Nothobranchius furzeri: one gene and its partner. The protein of the gene in region 1 binds, or shares a complex with, the protein of each later gene. Links are inferred from orthologs where the notes say so. Each region holds a gene or a part of one and is shown in the gene's direction. Other genes may lie near its edges.

Region 1 (7,260 bases):
ACTTTGTAGGCATGTTGAAACTCCTGTGAAGCTAGCCTAAACAAGCTAGTTTGTAGCCTTTCATCATCAACAGTTTGCTGCAAAGTTGGCTGCATTATCAAGACAAGGACGTAAACCCATATTGTCCCTCTTTAAAGGGATATTCCACTCAAAAGTGAAAATTTATAAGAACATCACGCAGTGGCTCTAAAGACACCTACTTCCATAACACATTATGTTTGTAATTCGAGAAAATGTACCAGCATTTAGCAGTGTCACGCCAACCCATGTCCTTGCGCCTATTGGCGAAAGCTTATAAATGAACTCTATCATTAAGTAGTCCCAAGTCTGAAATAACGCCTGGAATTCCTTTGTGTTCATTTTATTTCAACATGCAGTTAAGTTAAGTCATGGATGGCGACTAACTTCCTCTTCCTAAATGATTCTAAAACTGGTGTAATAATACCCGGCCCTGGTGAGAGAGCTGGAGCAGGTGATGAGATTGATCTTGATTCCATGACACAATGTCAGAAGAATGTGGTCACTAATTTAGGGGTGAAAATTGATGCACCCCTTTGATTTGATGCACAAATAAACATGGTTGTTCGAGCATGTTTTTTTAATCTGAGACGGCTGTCCAAGACAAAGCCTCTCCTGTCCAGAGTACATCTGGAAACAGCAGAACATGCTTTTATCATGCCCACATCGACTACTGTAATGCATTGTATGCTGGACTGAGTCAAGCTACTACTGCACGACTCCCGCTAGTCCAAAACTCCGCTGCGAGATTTGTGACTGGGACCAGAAGGAGAGACTACATCATGCCAGTGGTAGCTTCTAAGCACTGGCTACCGGGGCAAGATTTAAGATTCTCCTCTATGTGATCAGGGTGCTGCAGGGCAGTGCTCCCCCATATCTTGCTGAACTGTTGCAGCGGCGTGTCCCCACTCGGGCTCTTCGCTCTGCTGAGCAGGAGTGGCTGGAAGTCCCCCGCTCTAAACTCAGATCAAGGGGACCGGTGTCGGTGCAGGATCGGCTCGGGGTCCTTCGACTGCCAATGACGTCAAAGTAGTTGATTGGCTGAACATGAAGCTTACGGAAGTTACGTTATCACATCATGATTTTGATTGGTCAGAACAAATTTGTGGCCGTAGTCTTAGCGGTTGTAGTCCTGTAGTCCAAAAATCAACACTTTTTGGAGAAAATATGTTTGAATTTCTAAAGTAAATGTAAAATATAAGCAAATGATAAACGGTGACCCTCAAAAGCTCTTGATGTTGATGAAAGGGGGCAAAATAAAACATAAGAACTTTATTGAAAGACACCAAGCAACATTTTGAGTCAAAGAATGTATTTAGATAACAACTAAGGAATTATACAGATGAACTCCACGTTAATACAAACAGACGTGGCTTCACATATAAGAACTGTTTGTTTGTCAGTCCGATGTTGGTTTTATGCAGTTTCACATTCTTTACAAAACAAAGATAATATGGTGTTTTATCAACAAATTACAATTATAAAGAAAACATTTAGATGTTAACAAACAAGAATTTATTAACAAAACTGCTGATGTCTTTCCAAAACGTGTGTGTGAAAGCCGAGTAGAGTTGCAGTAATGTGACGTCATCGGCAGTCGAAGGACCCCGAGCCGATCCTGCACCCGAGCAGATCCTGCACCGACACCGGGTCTTCTCAGTAATGACCCCTACAGTCTGGAATGAGCTCCCTCTGGCAGTGAAGCAAGCTCCTTCTCTACAGGAGTTAGTCTCTCCTGAAATCTCTCTTTTATCTACTAGCTTTCCCCAGCATCGTTGACCCTGGCTTTCGTATTTTCACCTTTTGTACTGTATGGTTTTTAATTACTTTTACTTGTACTTTTCTATTTTTTTAATAATTTTTTCTCTCTTTTATCTACTATGTTGTTTTTATGTGCAGTTCAGCACCTTGGGCCTCTGATAAGGTGGTGGTAGGTGCTATATAAATAAATCTGATTGATTGATGATTATTTAGGCCGCTCAATACAATTTGTATCACTACTGAGTGATTTGAACAGACTTTTTTTCCTCACAATGATAGTTGGTCCCATTCGCTTACAGTGTTTTATGCTAAGCTAAAGAAGTACAGCTGGGTCAGGACAATAACTGGGCTGGTTGAAAATGTTTTTTTCCCACTTTTCTAACGCTGGAAAATATGTCAACAGACAAAATGTAACTTTTGGGTAGAGTATCCCTTTAAATTACTTTGATGAAGACCGAAGACGGGGATGAATAGCAGCGGCCAATCAAAGCGCTGACTAGCTGCTTGGACCCACTCTTCCCTGCTTCCATTAGACTGCCCCCCTGCAGCATGGTAGTCCATGTTTGTCCATGTGACCAATCAACCAAGATCAACTAGTTAGTGTCTGCTTATGATTTAAACTAACCTCTGAGCGATGTAAAATATTCACTGGATATATTTCTTATCCTAAAATAATCCTATGCATTTTTGATTGATTCTAGTATAATAAATAATTAACCTAAATTCAAACAAATGTTGTGCATTTTTCCATCTTATTGAGTAAACTGTCTTTAAAACAATGTGTATGAAATAGACCCTCCTGAGTTTGGGAGCAAAATAATTTAATCCGGCTCATTTAAAGTCATCCAGGGCGTGGTAATCCTGTTAAAACAACTAGACTTATTGCTTTGGGGGGGCATAAATGTAGATTTTTGTACAAAAGTGGCTCTGATTTTATCTTGTTTTTGTCTCAGGAGGGAAAGTCCTGCTGGCGGAGGTGTTCACACTTCTCATGCAGTATCTGAACAGTCCTGCTTCTGAGCCCACTGTAAGTTCTTGTGTGTGTTTGATCACCAAAATCCATGTCTTCCATTTTTTAGAGTAGATGATCAACTTCACCACTTTAAATCTGCTTTTAGATTCACGCTGGCTCCAAACGTTGAGCAGTACTGTTGCTGGATGTAGAGGATTTTCTGTACTTCCTTTGCATCAATTTAACTAATTTCTCAGTATGTAACTCTGTGTTTTTCTACTGTATGCTTTGTTTTTACCTTCCAGTACAACATAGGGGAGTATTTAAATGCAAAACAACAAAAAGATGACAAAAATACAGAATTTATCCAATGAATACAAAAGAAAACACGAAATGGGTATAATTTTTTATTTAAACACCATATTTTACAAATGATTCTGACATTTCATTAAATAGTGTGTCTTGTTTTATTGTTTTAATTGTAAATCTGATGCCTTTTGAACTGTTTGTGTACTTTGTTCATGTTAAAGGGCTTCATTGCCTTTGTAGAGCAGCCAGATTCCCCACACTTAAACCCAAAACACACACACACAACACAACACACGCACACACACACACACACACACACACACACACACACACACACACACACACACTTGGGAGAGGCTGGTGTTTTTTGCAGTTTTTGCACAAAAATGGTTGCCTCAGAAACTGATACAAGGTCAAATGAGATATAATTTCAAGAAGAAATAAAGAAATGTTGAAAGAAAGGTTGGTGGACATAAAAATGTCTGCTGTGACTAGAGTATTTATAACTGTGTGCGTGTGGACGGGTGTTTTTCAGGTCCTCCAGAAGTCGTACCGAACTCTGATGAAGTGGATTAGTGCGTGTGCGGATCTCTCCTCGATAACAGACCAGCTCAGAAAAGGTATGCCCCTCTTTGCTGCAGCTCTGAGTTCTGGATCCACATGTGGACAGAAGTGGCGTAACGCTCGTCCGTGTTAGATCTCATCCAGGTGGTGGGAAAGCGTGTGTGTGATGTGCGTTGGGAGGTGAGAGACTCGACCGTGGAGTTTCTGGGACACCTAGCAGGGCTGTGTGACACGTCTGAGGTTCTGCTGGGCGACCGCTGCTTTACCGTTTCTCTCCTCAAGGAGGCACTGCAGGATCCAGAGAGCTACGTGAGAGCCAGCTCCATCTCTGCTCTGGCCCAGACACTGGCACCCAGCTGGCAGCAGGGGGCAGCACCCACACAGGAGCAGGCAGGTGGAAATGGAACTGGTTGTTTTTATCAATAAATAAGATAAAGTGATTGTTCATCACCTTTTTTTTGTCCTTTCAGGTTGAACTTGTGAGTCGGCTGCATGAAATCCTCTCCCAGGACACGGAGGGATTCTCTAGGAGGGCTGTCCTTCAGTACTTTATCACCTGGTTCTCCTTGTGCCCCTCGCCCACCTCCTGCTCACTTCTCATGCAGTCCATGCATGCTGTCCTCTCACAAGGCAGTGCTGATCTAGACTGGGAGGTCAAAGTTCACACTCTGGAGCTGGCTGAGCTGCTGATGGACCGAGTCATCTCAGGTCTTCGTGGTTACTCAAATGAGCCAGGAGCTCATCCTCATCCCTACGCCGTGACGTCTAACAAAGTCTTCAAGCTTCAGTTGCACTCTGAGGCACACACATGGGACGGGGAGTCAGATTTAGTCGGTGTTTTGAGCACTTTGGTTGATCAGGGAGTCTTCTTGGTGCTGCTGGGTGGTCTCGTTGACTGTGACAGGCCTGTTGGACTGAAGGCCTGTCAGCTGCTCATGAGACTCAGAGACTCCGTCTGTCCTCTGTTACTAGGAGACCAAAGGGTCTCTGCACCAGACGAGCCCGGAGTGTCCTGTGAGCTGCCTGGATGTGGCTGGGCCCAGGAGGTCCGGAAAATACTGGGAATCGAGGATGCGGACCCTGCTCAGAAATCTGATGTTGTTGATCCTGGAGATGACCGTAAACCTGAGCAGGGAGGTGTGCGTGATGAAGGTTGCATGGTGCGTGTAAGTGTGTGTGAGGTGCTGAGGTCTCTGGGTTTAGACGCGAGGCTGAGTGTTCTGACGCAAAGCAGCGACCACGTACATAACTCCCCCATGTCTCTGCTGCAGGACATTCTCACTGCAGGCAGCAGAAACACCCAGCTGAACTCAGAACCAGGGCTAGAGGTCATAGTGGACTGTTACTGACACACACACACACACACACACACACACACACACACACACACACACACACATGGGTGGGAACAAGAGTCGTTCATACATGTTTTCTTCACCTGTGAGGACGTTTTAATGTTGTGGCTGATTTATTTTAGATCAGTCTTTAATCAAATTTAGTAAAAAGTGTCACTGATGAGTGGCTGAGTAGAATTAAAAGATTAATTATTACACAACATGAAAGTAGTTGAGTGCTCCAGGCTGTTTTTAGCAGAGAGCAGAGAAGGTTCTGGTCCGAGACCCGAGTTGACCCTTTTGATTTTGATTGAATTCAGTATAAAATTTGCATTTAGTCAGTTGAAGGTTTCATTTTATATATATGTATATATATTTTTTTCACCCTTCTGACATTTATTTTTTCTTTTGAAAAAAAAGATTTCCTCATCACCAATATGCCTCAAAAAGAAAATAAACCGGAAAACCACATTTAAAATGACATTTTCATTGAGAATTTACACGCAAACATGTACACTTCTGGAATAACCACCATCACTGTCACATGACCAAACTATCGCGCACCATCACCCCCCTCCCCTTCTGAAACTGATACACAAATGGCTACTAGGTGGAGGAAAATATTGTTTGCTAACACCGGCCCAGTTTTAGACCGATACCGACTAGCACAGGCCGATGTTGATGCGGATGCATCGTGCATCTCTAATAATAAATATATTCATAAAGAATGGACCAAAGTAACTGCATCATTTCCTAACATAAGACAGTCCTAATTAAAACTCAGTAACTGACCTACGATATAGATTAGTTTAAAAATTCTGCTTTTTTTATAGGAGTAAAATCAACTGTGATGGTAAATGTAGACAGGACGTCAAAGTGGCCTTAAAATCGACCGAATCAGTAGAAGTTTGGAACAGGAAATGTGTTTGAATGAGATAAAGTCCATCCAGTCAGTGGAGCTTGTTGCTGCTGACTCCCATCCACACATCAGGACAGGAAATGTGACAGAACAGCCATTGATTATTGATTTAAACAGAGAGGATTCTCTTCTGACAGCCATGTTTTCAGAGTCATGATGTAAAAACTCAAATAAATCCCAGTTGATACTAAGTTGGTGTTGTTTCTTGGTTGTGATTCCTGGAATCTCTTTCCTGATATTCAGCTCAGGTGTGCAGCTCTCATCACTGCTACCGAGGAGAGCTCTAAATGTGACAAGTGGTGAGAAACTGAACTTCTGTTTTCTGCTAAAGGACGGCGCGGATGAGCTCAGGCTCAATCACGTGGATGAAGAGAAGGACACACGGGCTGAAAACACTCCTCATTAACTTGTCAGCCACACACATGGACTATGTCACCCTGACGTCCCTCTGCTGCACTCCTCTCCCTCAGCTATCTCACTCCTCTCTCCCACCACCATGGAGGCTGTGGCTCTCTTCTCATTTGCAGCATCAGAGCCAGACGAGATCAGTTTTCAGAAGGGGGACGTTGTCAAAGTACGGCCGCAGGATTGTGATGCTTTAGAGGGATTTCTGCGTGTTTTTAGTAGTGATTGTGTTGTTTTAGGTGTCCTGTCTGTGTGTGTTTTAGGTGACAGAAATGGAGGAAGACTCTTGTTGGTTCACATCGGAGATCCAGGGGAAGCGAGGCTACGTACCAGAGAACTACATCTACCTACTCCCTCATCCGTAAACAGAAAACTACTCATTTTACACATTTGAGATGTAGTTTCCAAAGTTGGGAGGTTTTAACCTTTATTTTTAGTTTTTTATTATCATTTTTGATTAAAAAAAATAGATGCTGTTTGTTGAAGTCCCAGCCTATGTGGGAATGCCTTTAACATTTTTAATAGACGTTTCTGTCTGCTGCTGCAGTTGGTTTGCAGGTGCGGTGTCCCGACTTGAAGCTGAGGAGCGTCTGCGCTGGCAGGAAACAGGAGTGTTTCTGGTGAGGGAGAGTGAATCAGCCCCAGGAGAGTTTTCTCTCTCTGTTAGGTCAGTGAATGCACCACATGTTCACACATGCTCGCTTCATTTAGGCTGAATTATTTATATCCCGTCTGAAGGGATGGAGAGATCTGGAGAGATAGTAGACGAGCTGCTTTCTGTAAGAATCTTCTGTAAATCATGCATTGTGACAGAAGCGTGGAGTTTTACAAAACGTAGCGTTAGATAAACATCTGTTACGTCTTTCAGATCAGAGCTGTGTTATGATGGCCTTGGATCCGCTAGGGTTAGCCGTTAGCTCATTTATCTAGTCAGACCTGATCTGTTTCTCCAAACTGAGGTTGTTCAAAGAGCTTTACTACGATGTTTAGTATAACCT
Region 2 (8,390 bases), on another chromosome or scaffold:
AGCTGGCAGCGAACTGGAGCTCTGCGCTGGATCTCACCGCCTGCAGAGTCAAAGTGCCGCTGAAAGCTCTGATCATGCGGATCGCTCACTGCCAGAAGCAGATGTCCACCTGAGACCGCTGATCATCTACTCATCCTCCAACCTCTGGGTCTCAAGCAGTTGGAGCTGGGGCATGAGTTTGTCCAGCTCCTTCTAGGACTCCCCTCAGAGAGACGACTTTATTTTAGTTATTCTGGTGAAGCTGCAGGAGTGTCACACAGGTGGAGCATCTGCAGAATGTTCTCTGCTCCACCTGCGGCCCAGCTGAAGCTCGGTAACGGAAGGCTTCGTCTGGCTTGGGGCTGCCGTGAACCTCCGACCGCTCTTGGTTGTCTGAGTCAGCCGTCCCTGGCGGCTCTGCACCGTCCTAGAGAAGATTTCCTACCATCTTGGCTTGCTAAAGCATTGCTACCCTGTTGGGGGGACCATCACAATCGTTACTTTAAACATCAGATAAAACTTTAGTTTTAATTATTTACTAGACTTTTTCTACCAATTTACAAACGAGTCAATATTACAAGTTAAACATGATTGTACTGAGGATCAGTATTTTGTTTTCCACCCGTAGAAACAGGAAGTGGATGCTCATGTCGACTCGTGACGATGTTGCCCTAGCAACATGGTACCCGTGCCCCCATGACGACCTGTTTTCGGCACGAGGGCAGCCCCTGGTGTCGGAAGGCTGTAACTGCACCTGTTATGGGATTAAAATTGGGTTTCCTCACATTTAATCCAAATCAATCCCAGGCGTCTTTAGTCGTAATGAAGTATATTATTTAAAGTACTTTGATACATTTAGTCATAGTAAAAATGATAATACTTGGCTAAAACAATAAATAGTAAAAGCCCCGCTCAGAAACTGCCACACCAAATCTTTTTTAATGAATTTTTAATGCATTCCAAGTAACCAGTCAGACAGTCAAGTATTCTGGGATTATTCCAGCTAGTAAATATCAAGTCTGTATATCAAAGTTTGAAAAGCAAGGTGGAAATAAATTATAGCTTTAAAACTTTATTAGCTTCTAAATAATTACTATTGGTGCATTTTAATTGATAGATGAGAGAAACAAACAAGCAGCATATTATAAATCAGGATGCATGGGGCTACAATCTGCTGTTCTTCAATTTAATACAAGTTATGGCATTCATCAGAGAGCAACAGGTCCACTTCCATATTGAATCCCCTCACCAGCAGATCCTAGCAGGGTTTTTCCTCTATGGTAAGTCCAGCAGGTGGTGCTTAGCGTAAAGGTCTTCTGTGATCTGGTACACCTCCAAGATGAGAGGCAGGGCCTCCCCCAGCACAGCTACCACCTGCTCAGGGGGGCCAACATTCATCACTTCAAAGAAAGCAGTACGTCCAGGCAGGACAACAAATGCCAGGCCAGCTGCCTTACGGACCAACCACGGGTGGTGCTGAGCCAGAGACTCGTTGTAGGCCTCTGAGCACATGACAGAGGTCTTGCTGTGCTTGTCGCTGGTACGGAGACGCTCTAGGAAGAGCTCCAGCCACCTGAGCGCTCGGTGGAGCCTCAGTAGGGTGCGGCAGCCCGACTCGGGGTGGATGCCAGTCTTGTTCACGTCCACCAGCTGATTCTCGAGCTCATAGCTCACCATGGACTGCACCGTGACGTACTGAGAGCTGCTCTCCCCACTCAGAAAGTTTGACAGGATCTGGATCTTGCTGACGGCGTCTTTAGAAATGAAGGTGAAGACACTGCCCAAGCTGTTCAGGAACCTGTCGGGGGGGATTTAGAAAATGCACACCGTGAGCTGTTTGTCATGTCGCTACAGCTCGGCGCAGAAGAGTCCAGCTTTAACCGGCTAAACGTAATCAGTCAGACCCACGAGGAATTCTAGGAACTCGCCAGCAGCTCCAACAGAAAACTAGGTTACGACCTGAGGCGTTGCTAGGGTAACCACCTGTAAGAGAACCCAACATCTTCCCAGTGGTGTCTGATTTAGATACGTTTGTCTTTAATTGGTCTTTTTTCCTGCATTTCTATACATTAAAGGGTTTTCCTACAAGATTTGAAATGTGTTTATTCATTCAGACCCGTTTCAGCCCCATCCTACGATGGGATTAAAGCTCTAAACTTTAGAGATCAAGAGAAAACAACAATGAAGGCTTTGTTCACCTCGTTTTAATTTTAAACATATTTAGATTATTCAGAACATTAATCTGATACCATGATACATGATCAAGATCAGAGCTTACAAGTGCTTCTGTGGAAAAGTTACAAAAAATTTCTATTTTACCTGTTTAAGATGGTTCACTGAGCGGCCTCAGTTTGGAGAAACAGACTAATTAGATAGAGAGTCATAGCTGCAGTCACAGCGACTTCGCAAACAGATTCCTGTCAGAATTTCATCCTTCAGTAAGAATAACTGTGTCGAGGTTTAAAACAGTGTACACAGATATCATGTGGCCTGGAGGATATTTCTGAGATTAGTTGTTTTAGAACAGGCGTCTCCAACGTCAGGGCCCTCAGAGTAATTTAGTGCAGCCACCAATGCGGTTCTGGAATAGTGGAATTTTATTTTTCCATGTTTACTAATATGATGCCAATTTAGGAGCTGTATAATTTAAAAAAAAATGCACGCCATAAAATAGCCTATGCAATAAAATAAATAAACACATTTTGTGTAAGTGTAGACTCCGAAATTATTTAAAAATCAGTAAAACTGTAGATAATCACTTACTTGACGAGACCACGCCATCCAGCGACGTAGTGTTCTAGATAGACTTCTTTATCGGGCGACAAACATAATTTAAAAGTGTCCAGCACCTCCCGCATGCAGAATTTCTGATTATCTGAAGACCATGAACCTGCCATGGTTCTGGATGAGGATATGTGAACAAAACCACCAAATTAAAGAAGAACTCGTCTTTAATGGCGAGGAAAAAGCTGGAGCTGGGCGAGGGAACCCGGACAGCAAACGCATCACCTACGGGGAGGTTTCAGAGAGCTAAGAAGACGTTTCATCGGTGCTTTTCATCAGTGGAAATGACAGGTCCTTCCTGTTCTGAGCCACGTTTACTGCGCATGCTCAAACGGAAATACACGGGAGATTGAAAGTCTTACTTTCAAAATAAATCCCACTGGAAATGTAAAACGAGAACAACTGAGCTCAATTTTAAACTCGCGGATGAATCAAAATGGAAACTGGAGCCATTTCATTGTATTTAAAGGGAAGCGAAACGAGAATAAAAGTTTTCACTTTTCAAAGTAGGAAACAATTTATTTACATATTTTATGGGTATTCATGTCTGTTCGTTTAAATAAAAATACACACATTTAACTAAATGTTAGTGTGGAAATAAAATAAAATGTGTTTTGGGCACATTTTGGTTTCCAAACATAAACTGCAATAAATAAGTAAAATGCTGGAACCACAGTTAAACTTCAGCAATTATCTGCATAAAAACATAACTTTGTAAAACATTCTGCTACATGTCCAAAAACCCAAACTAATATGTTTTTCTGTTAATTTAATAAATACAATAAAGAGCACTGTTTTCCACTTAATTTAACTTAAAAGCAATGATGATGATAACCTCATAAACATATTTAATATTCAGCTAGAATTTTTTGAACAGTTAAACGCAAAGTTACAACACATTTTAACGTGAAGAATAATTAGAATAAATAAGTATTAATAAGACTTCGGTAGTGTTTTTATTTATTTTTTGTATGAACTTTTATTTTGAATGTGCTAACCGGAATGTATCCTGTTCCTGTTGAAAGCATGAGATAACCGCTCGTAAAAGTTAGAGCTAATAAACATTTATTTCTCATCGTGAATATTATTTGTTGTTAACAGGTTAGCAGTTTGTGACAGGTCGGTGATCCTGGCAGCAGACTGTTGACTAAAACATGCCTGAGATAAAGGTTACACCATTAGGTGAGTACTAGCTAGTTAGCATGTGCTAAGCTAGTTCTGTGTCGATGTTTGATGTAGGCTTTTGTCGTTGACGCTGTGTTAGCAGGACTAGCATGAAGCTGCGTGTGTCTTCTGTCCCCTCTCCAAGGTGCTGGACAGGATGTCGGCCGCAGCTGCATTCTTGTCTCCATCGGAGGCAAAAACATCATGCTGGACTGTGGGATGCACATGGGATACAACGATGACGTAAGTAAAGAGTATGTTTACTGAGGCGAGCTTCAGCTGCAAGAGGTAAAGGGAAGACTTTGGCTATCAGATGAAGTCAGAAAATACAACAACTGTCAGCATAACTAGATTTTTAACAGGCTGTCCTGGGTGAGCTTCACCTGACTGAAAAAGGAAGTCATAAAATCACCAGGAGCCGTCCTTGTTCCCAGATAGATGGAAATCTCCCATCAGGTTAGGAGAGAGGTCTCGGTGTCTTGTTTAGGGGTGATGGGAGGAGGAAGTCTGTTTTTTATTTATTTTCATTTTGCTTTCTTACGAGTTATCATAAACGTGGTCAGTTAAAATTGTCTTCTGGCTGCCTCACTTGGACGTTTCCTGTCTAATCCCACCGGGAGGAAAGTCTAGGAACAACCCAGAGTTATAAATCCTCTGGGATGGTTTTGGGATCACTCGGGAGAAGCTGGAGAGTTTTGCTTGGGAAGGGGTGTCTGGTTTCCTCTCCTTGAGCCTGACCTTGAATATAGATGGTAAATGGCCTGTATTTGTATAGTGCCTTCTTGGGGTTCTACAACCCCCCAAGGCGCTTCACAACACAATCAGCCATTCACCCATTCACACGCTGGTAGGGATGAGCCACGATGTAGCCGCAGCTGCCCTAGGGTGCACTGGCAGAGGCAAGGCTGCCAAACACATTGTGTTAATATATCAATTTCACAGTTTGTTGACAGAATATAGTGATATAAATGATCAAAGCTCCCTCTACAGCGGCTTCATTTATCAAGCTTGCTTACGCACAAAACGGGTCGGAAAACTGCGTGAGCAACTTTCCACGCAAACTTTGGGATTTATGAAAGAAAACTTAGCGGAAACATGTGCACAACTTTAAGTTGACTAAGGACCTGGCTTACGCACATTTTGGACATGGAGAGCACCTGCAGTGCTGCTGCTGAGAAGGATAACATTATGAAATCCTGCAGCATTATCACTTGTACCGCTTCGTGCGCACACAGATCAGGACCACACACACGCATGTGCGTACACACACAGCCTGAAGCGCAGAATACGGAATACAGAATATCAGCAGGGGGACAGATTGAGACAGAATGTCATGCGTGTGTGACGGTGTGTGTCCTGTCACTGTGACCCGATTGATCATGCACCCTGGCTAGTTGTACAAGGGAGCTCTCCGTTTGGATGACTGGTTAGCGTGCGTGACTTTCGCCCGGGAGTCTGGGGATTGAATCCCAATCTGACCATTTTTTTAATATCCGCCACAGATCTCTCTGAAGAATTCACAACATTGACGGCTTCAGCAACGCTGTGCCACTCCGTGGATTTTCTCTTAGTTGTTTTGCAAAAGTACTTCCTTTCATTTCTCCACCTCACCCACAGGTACCTCAACTTCTGCTTCTGTGAAATTGCGCTTCCTTGATCTGCCTTGATCTACGGTCGCCATGTTATTGGTGGAGCGCTGCAACAGCCGGCTTATATATATGCATGAGATCCACAAGGCACTTTGCATTGACCATTTATGGCAGAAAGTGGGCGTGGTGAGGGCGGGATGTGACTAAAAAGCAGCTGAGAATCGTTCTAGATAGTTTCTGATTCATGAAGCGGAGATTGCGTGCAGCTGTGCGTCCTCCATGTTTGATAGATCACAAACCTACTTGGCATAAGTACATATTTTTTGCTGAGCTTAAGTACGGTTTTAGTGATGATTCTACTCAACGTTTGATAAATGAGACCCCTGATCTGTAAGAGGACATGTTATAGGACCAAAATAAAGCAAAAGACGAGCTCTCCGGCCTTAAATGCAGCCAACTGTACATCTGAAGCTGTAAAAAGTATTTGCTAAAAATGTGTAACCAGAGATGAAACAGCGATGCTGCTGTTGCACATGGGTTGATAGGTGCTCCTGTAGTGAGTTACATACACTAATGGTGCAACTTCACACTTAATCTACAGCTGAAAATTGTGTCCTTGTTCTGAACAGTTAAAGGTGTGTGTGTGTGTGTGTGTGTGTGTGTGTGTGTTCGTGTTCGTGTTCGTGTTCCAGAGACGTTTCCCTGACTTCTCCTATGTGACCCAGAACGGGCGTCTGACAGATTTTTTGGACTGTGTCATCATCAGGTTTGTTTTTTGACTTTCTTCTACTTACCGTATTTTCCGGAGTATAAGTCGCACCAGCCATAAAATGTATTAATGAAGAAGAAAAACACATATATAAGTCGCACTGGACTGTAAGTTGCATTTCGGGGGGAAATTTTATTATTTTTCTTACAAAATCTGAGACCAAGCGTTTCACATTGCAAGACAATACAACAGCAGAATAAACAACCAGCTGTTGCAGCAGCTCGTCACGGTCTCCAGCAGGTGATGGTGGGGCAGAGGAGCTGAAACCTGGTCCGGAGCCGGCCCACAGCAGCGCGGTATAGCCTACATAATTTGGTATATAATTCACGTTGGTGTGTGTGTGTGTGTGTGTGTGTGTGTGTGTGTGTGTGTGTGTGTGTGTGTGTGTGTGTCTCTGCTCTGTCTTCTCGATCCCCAGTGAGTCGTGGAGGATGGCTGCTTATACTAAGCCAGGATTCTCTGGAGGTTTCTTCCTGTTAAAAGGGAGTTTTCCTCTCCACTGTCGCTTTATGCTTGCTTAGTATGAGTCAGTGACCGTAAAGTCACTGACACTTGTCAGTGACTTGATGCAATTCGCTGGGTTCCTTATATAGGAAAAATTATTTCTGATTGGCTTAATGAACTGTCCTGAACTGGAATGTTTATTATGTGAAGTGCCTTGAGACGACTCTTGTCGTGATTTGGCGCTTTATAAATAAACTTGAATTGAATTGAATAAAAGTCGCAGGACCAGCCAGACTATGAAAAAAAAGTGCGACTTATAGTCCGGAAAGTACGGTACCTTTGCAAATCTGTAACTTTCTTAAACAACTGCTATTTTTCCTCTCAGCCACTTTCACTTGGACCACTGTGGTGCTCTGCCCTACATGAGTGAGATGGTGGGCTACGATGGTCCAATCTACATGACTCACCCCACCAAGGCCATTTGTCCCATTTTACTGGAGGATTTCAGGAAGATCACCGTTGATAAGAAGGGAGAAACCAACTTCTTCACATCACAAATGATCAAGGACTGCATGAAGAAAGTGGTCCCTTTGAACCTGCACCAAACAGTCCAGGTGCTGTGTTGACATCTTGTTTTTGACACTCTGGGTCAAACGAGTTTCATCTAAGCTTGTCTCCCTCGCTCTCTCTCTCTCTCTCTCTGCGCCAGCTGCTTCTCTCATTTGATGGCAAATCAAGTTGTTTGTGTGGTGCTCCTGGCAGGTGGATGATGAGCTGGAGATCAAGGCCTACTATGCAGGCCATGTCCTGGGAGCTGCCATGGTGCAAATCAAAGTGGGATCAGAGTCTGTAGTCTACACTGTGAGTGTACAACGTCTGAGCTGAAGTCGGTGAACGGAAGTGCGGTCTCACCAAAATCTTTTTGTTTTTTAGGGGGACTACAATATGACACCAGACAGGCACTTAGGGTAAGCTGCCTCTTTCCAACCTTAGGGATATTAATATAGTCCATAATATTATTACCATGTCTCTGGGTTAAGTATGCTGATCAATGAGTGGGTGGAGAGAGAAGAGAAAATAGTAGTAGTAGTGATGTTTATTTGACATGGACACAGCAATTACATTGGACGAACCAGATGCATTGTTTAGTGTGTTAGCACAAGTGCTAATTTGCAACACTTGTCCATTGAACCTTTCTAAAAAGTAGAGTACATTTAAATAAAATGCAAAGTGATCAACAATTAATCAAACAGAAAACAGATTAAAATTGCAAACAATTTTCAATAAAAAAGAATAAAACAAGGCAATTTGAGCAGCAATGTAAGACTTTAAAACTATTCATGTAGACGTTGTTTAGACTTGAACCATTTTTTGAGTTCTTTGTTAAAAACTTTACTGTCCGTTTCTAGTTTTAGGTCAGTAGGTAGAGAGTTCCAAAGTTTGGCCCCCTTTACAGAAGGGGGTTACAAAATAACGGTAAGCCAGCCAAGTAAGTACAGGGACAGTCGGACCATCAGCAGGATTTCTACAGGTTCCATCTTTTCAAATGTTTTTCACATTTTAATGAATTTTATCTCTCCATAACATGCATCACCTCTACAATTCCTAACCATTCTGAAACTGCCACCTCTATCTTTGGGTAGTTGGAGTTTCTGAAGTCG

What was found.
Region 2: the proteins of brat1 (region 1) and ints11 are in contact, whole or in part, in a cryo-EM structure (PDB 8UIB), measured with the Homo sapiens proteins. The link is inferred for Nothobranchius furzeri from reciprocal best matches to the Homo sapiens genes BRAT1 and INTS11. Residues at the interface, in NP_689956.2 of Homo sapiens: Asp25, Thr27, Cys28, Glu30, Lys31, Asp34, Pro117, Ser156, Ser157, Leu158, Phe159, Ser162, Lys358, Ser359, Cys366, Arg367, Arg424, Arg427, Thr465, Lys468, Lys469, Trp514, Glu515, Asp518, Ser519, Glu522, Tyr560, Ser564, Ser604, Glu605; in NP_060341.2 of Homo sapiens: Leu9, Val15, Gly16, Lys27, Met35, His36, Met37, Gly38, Phe39, Arg43, Asp47, Tyr50, Thr58, Asp59, Asp62, His70, Leu71, Asp72, His73, Asp87, Gly88, Gln97, Pro101, Ile102, Glu105, Arg108, Lys109, Val112, Asp113, Lys114.

The regions. Positions count from the first base shown.
Region 1 is NC_091744.1:16,246,123-16,253,382, forward strand, and holds the end of brat1 (BRCA1-associated ATM activator 1), read left to right. Parts: intron 1-2,732; coding exon 2,733-2,806; intron 2,807-3,575; coding exon 3,576-3,660; intron 3,661-3,737; coding exon 3,738-3,994; intron 3,995-4,074; coding exon 4,075-4,953; 3' UTR 4,954-5,090; downstream 5,091-7,260. Other genes in the region: GRB2-related adapter protein, read left to right, coding at 6,354-6,431, 6,526-6,623, 6,810-6,929. UniProt on the Homo sapiens protein: Component of a multiprotein complex required for the assembly of the RNA endonuclease module of the integrator complex.
Region 2 is NC_091755.1:39,095,016-39,103,405, forward strand, and holds the start of ints11 (integrator complex subunit 11), read left to right. Parts: upstream 1-3,771; 5' UTR 3,772-3,917; coding exon 3,918-3,945; intron 3,946-4,030; exon of another isoform or gene 4,031-4,072; coding exon 4,073-4,170; intron 4,171-6,208; coding exon 6,209-6,282; intron 6,283-7,114; coding exon 7,115-7,343; intron 7,344-7,491; coding exon 7,492-7,590; intron 7,591-7,662; coding exon 7,663-7,697; intron 7,698-8,390. Other genes in the region: cptp (ceramide-1-phosphate transfer protein), read right to left, coding at 1,255-1,777, 2,743-2,876.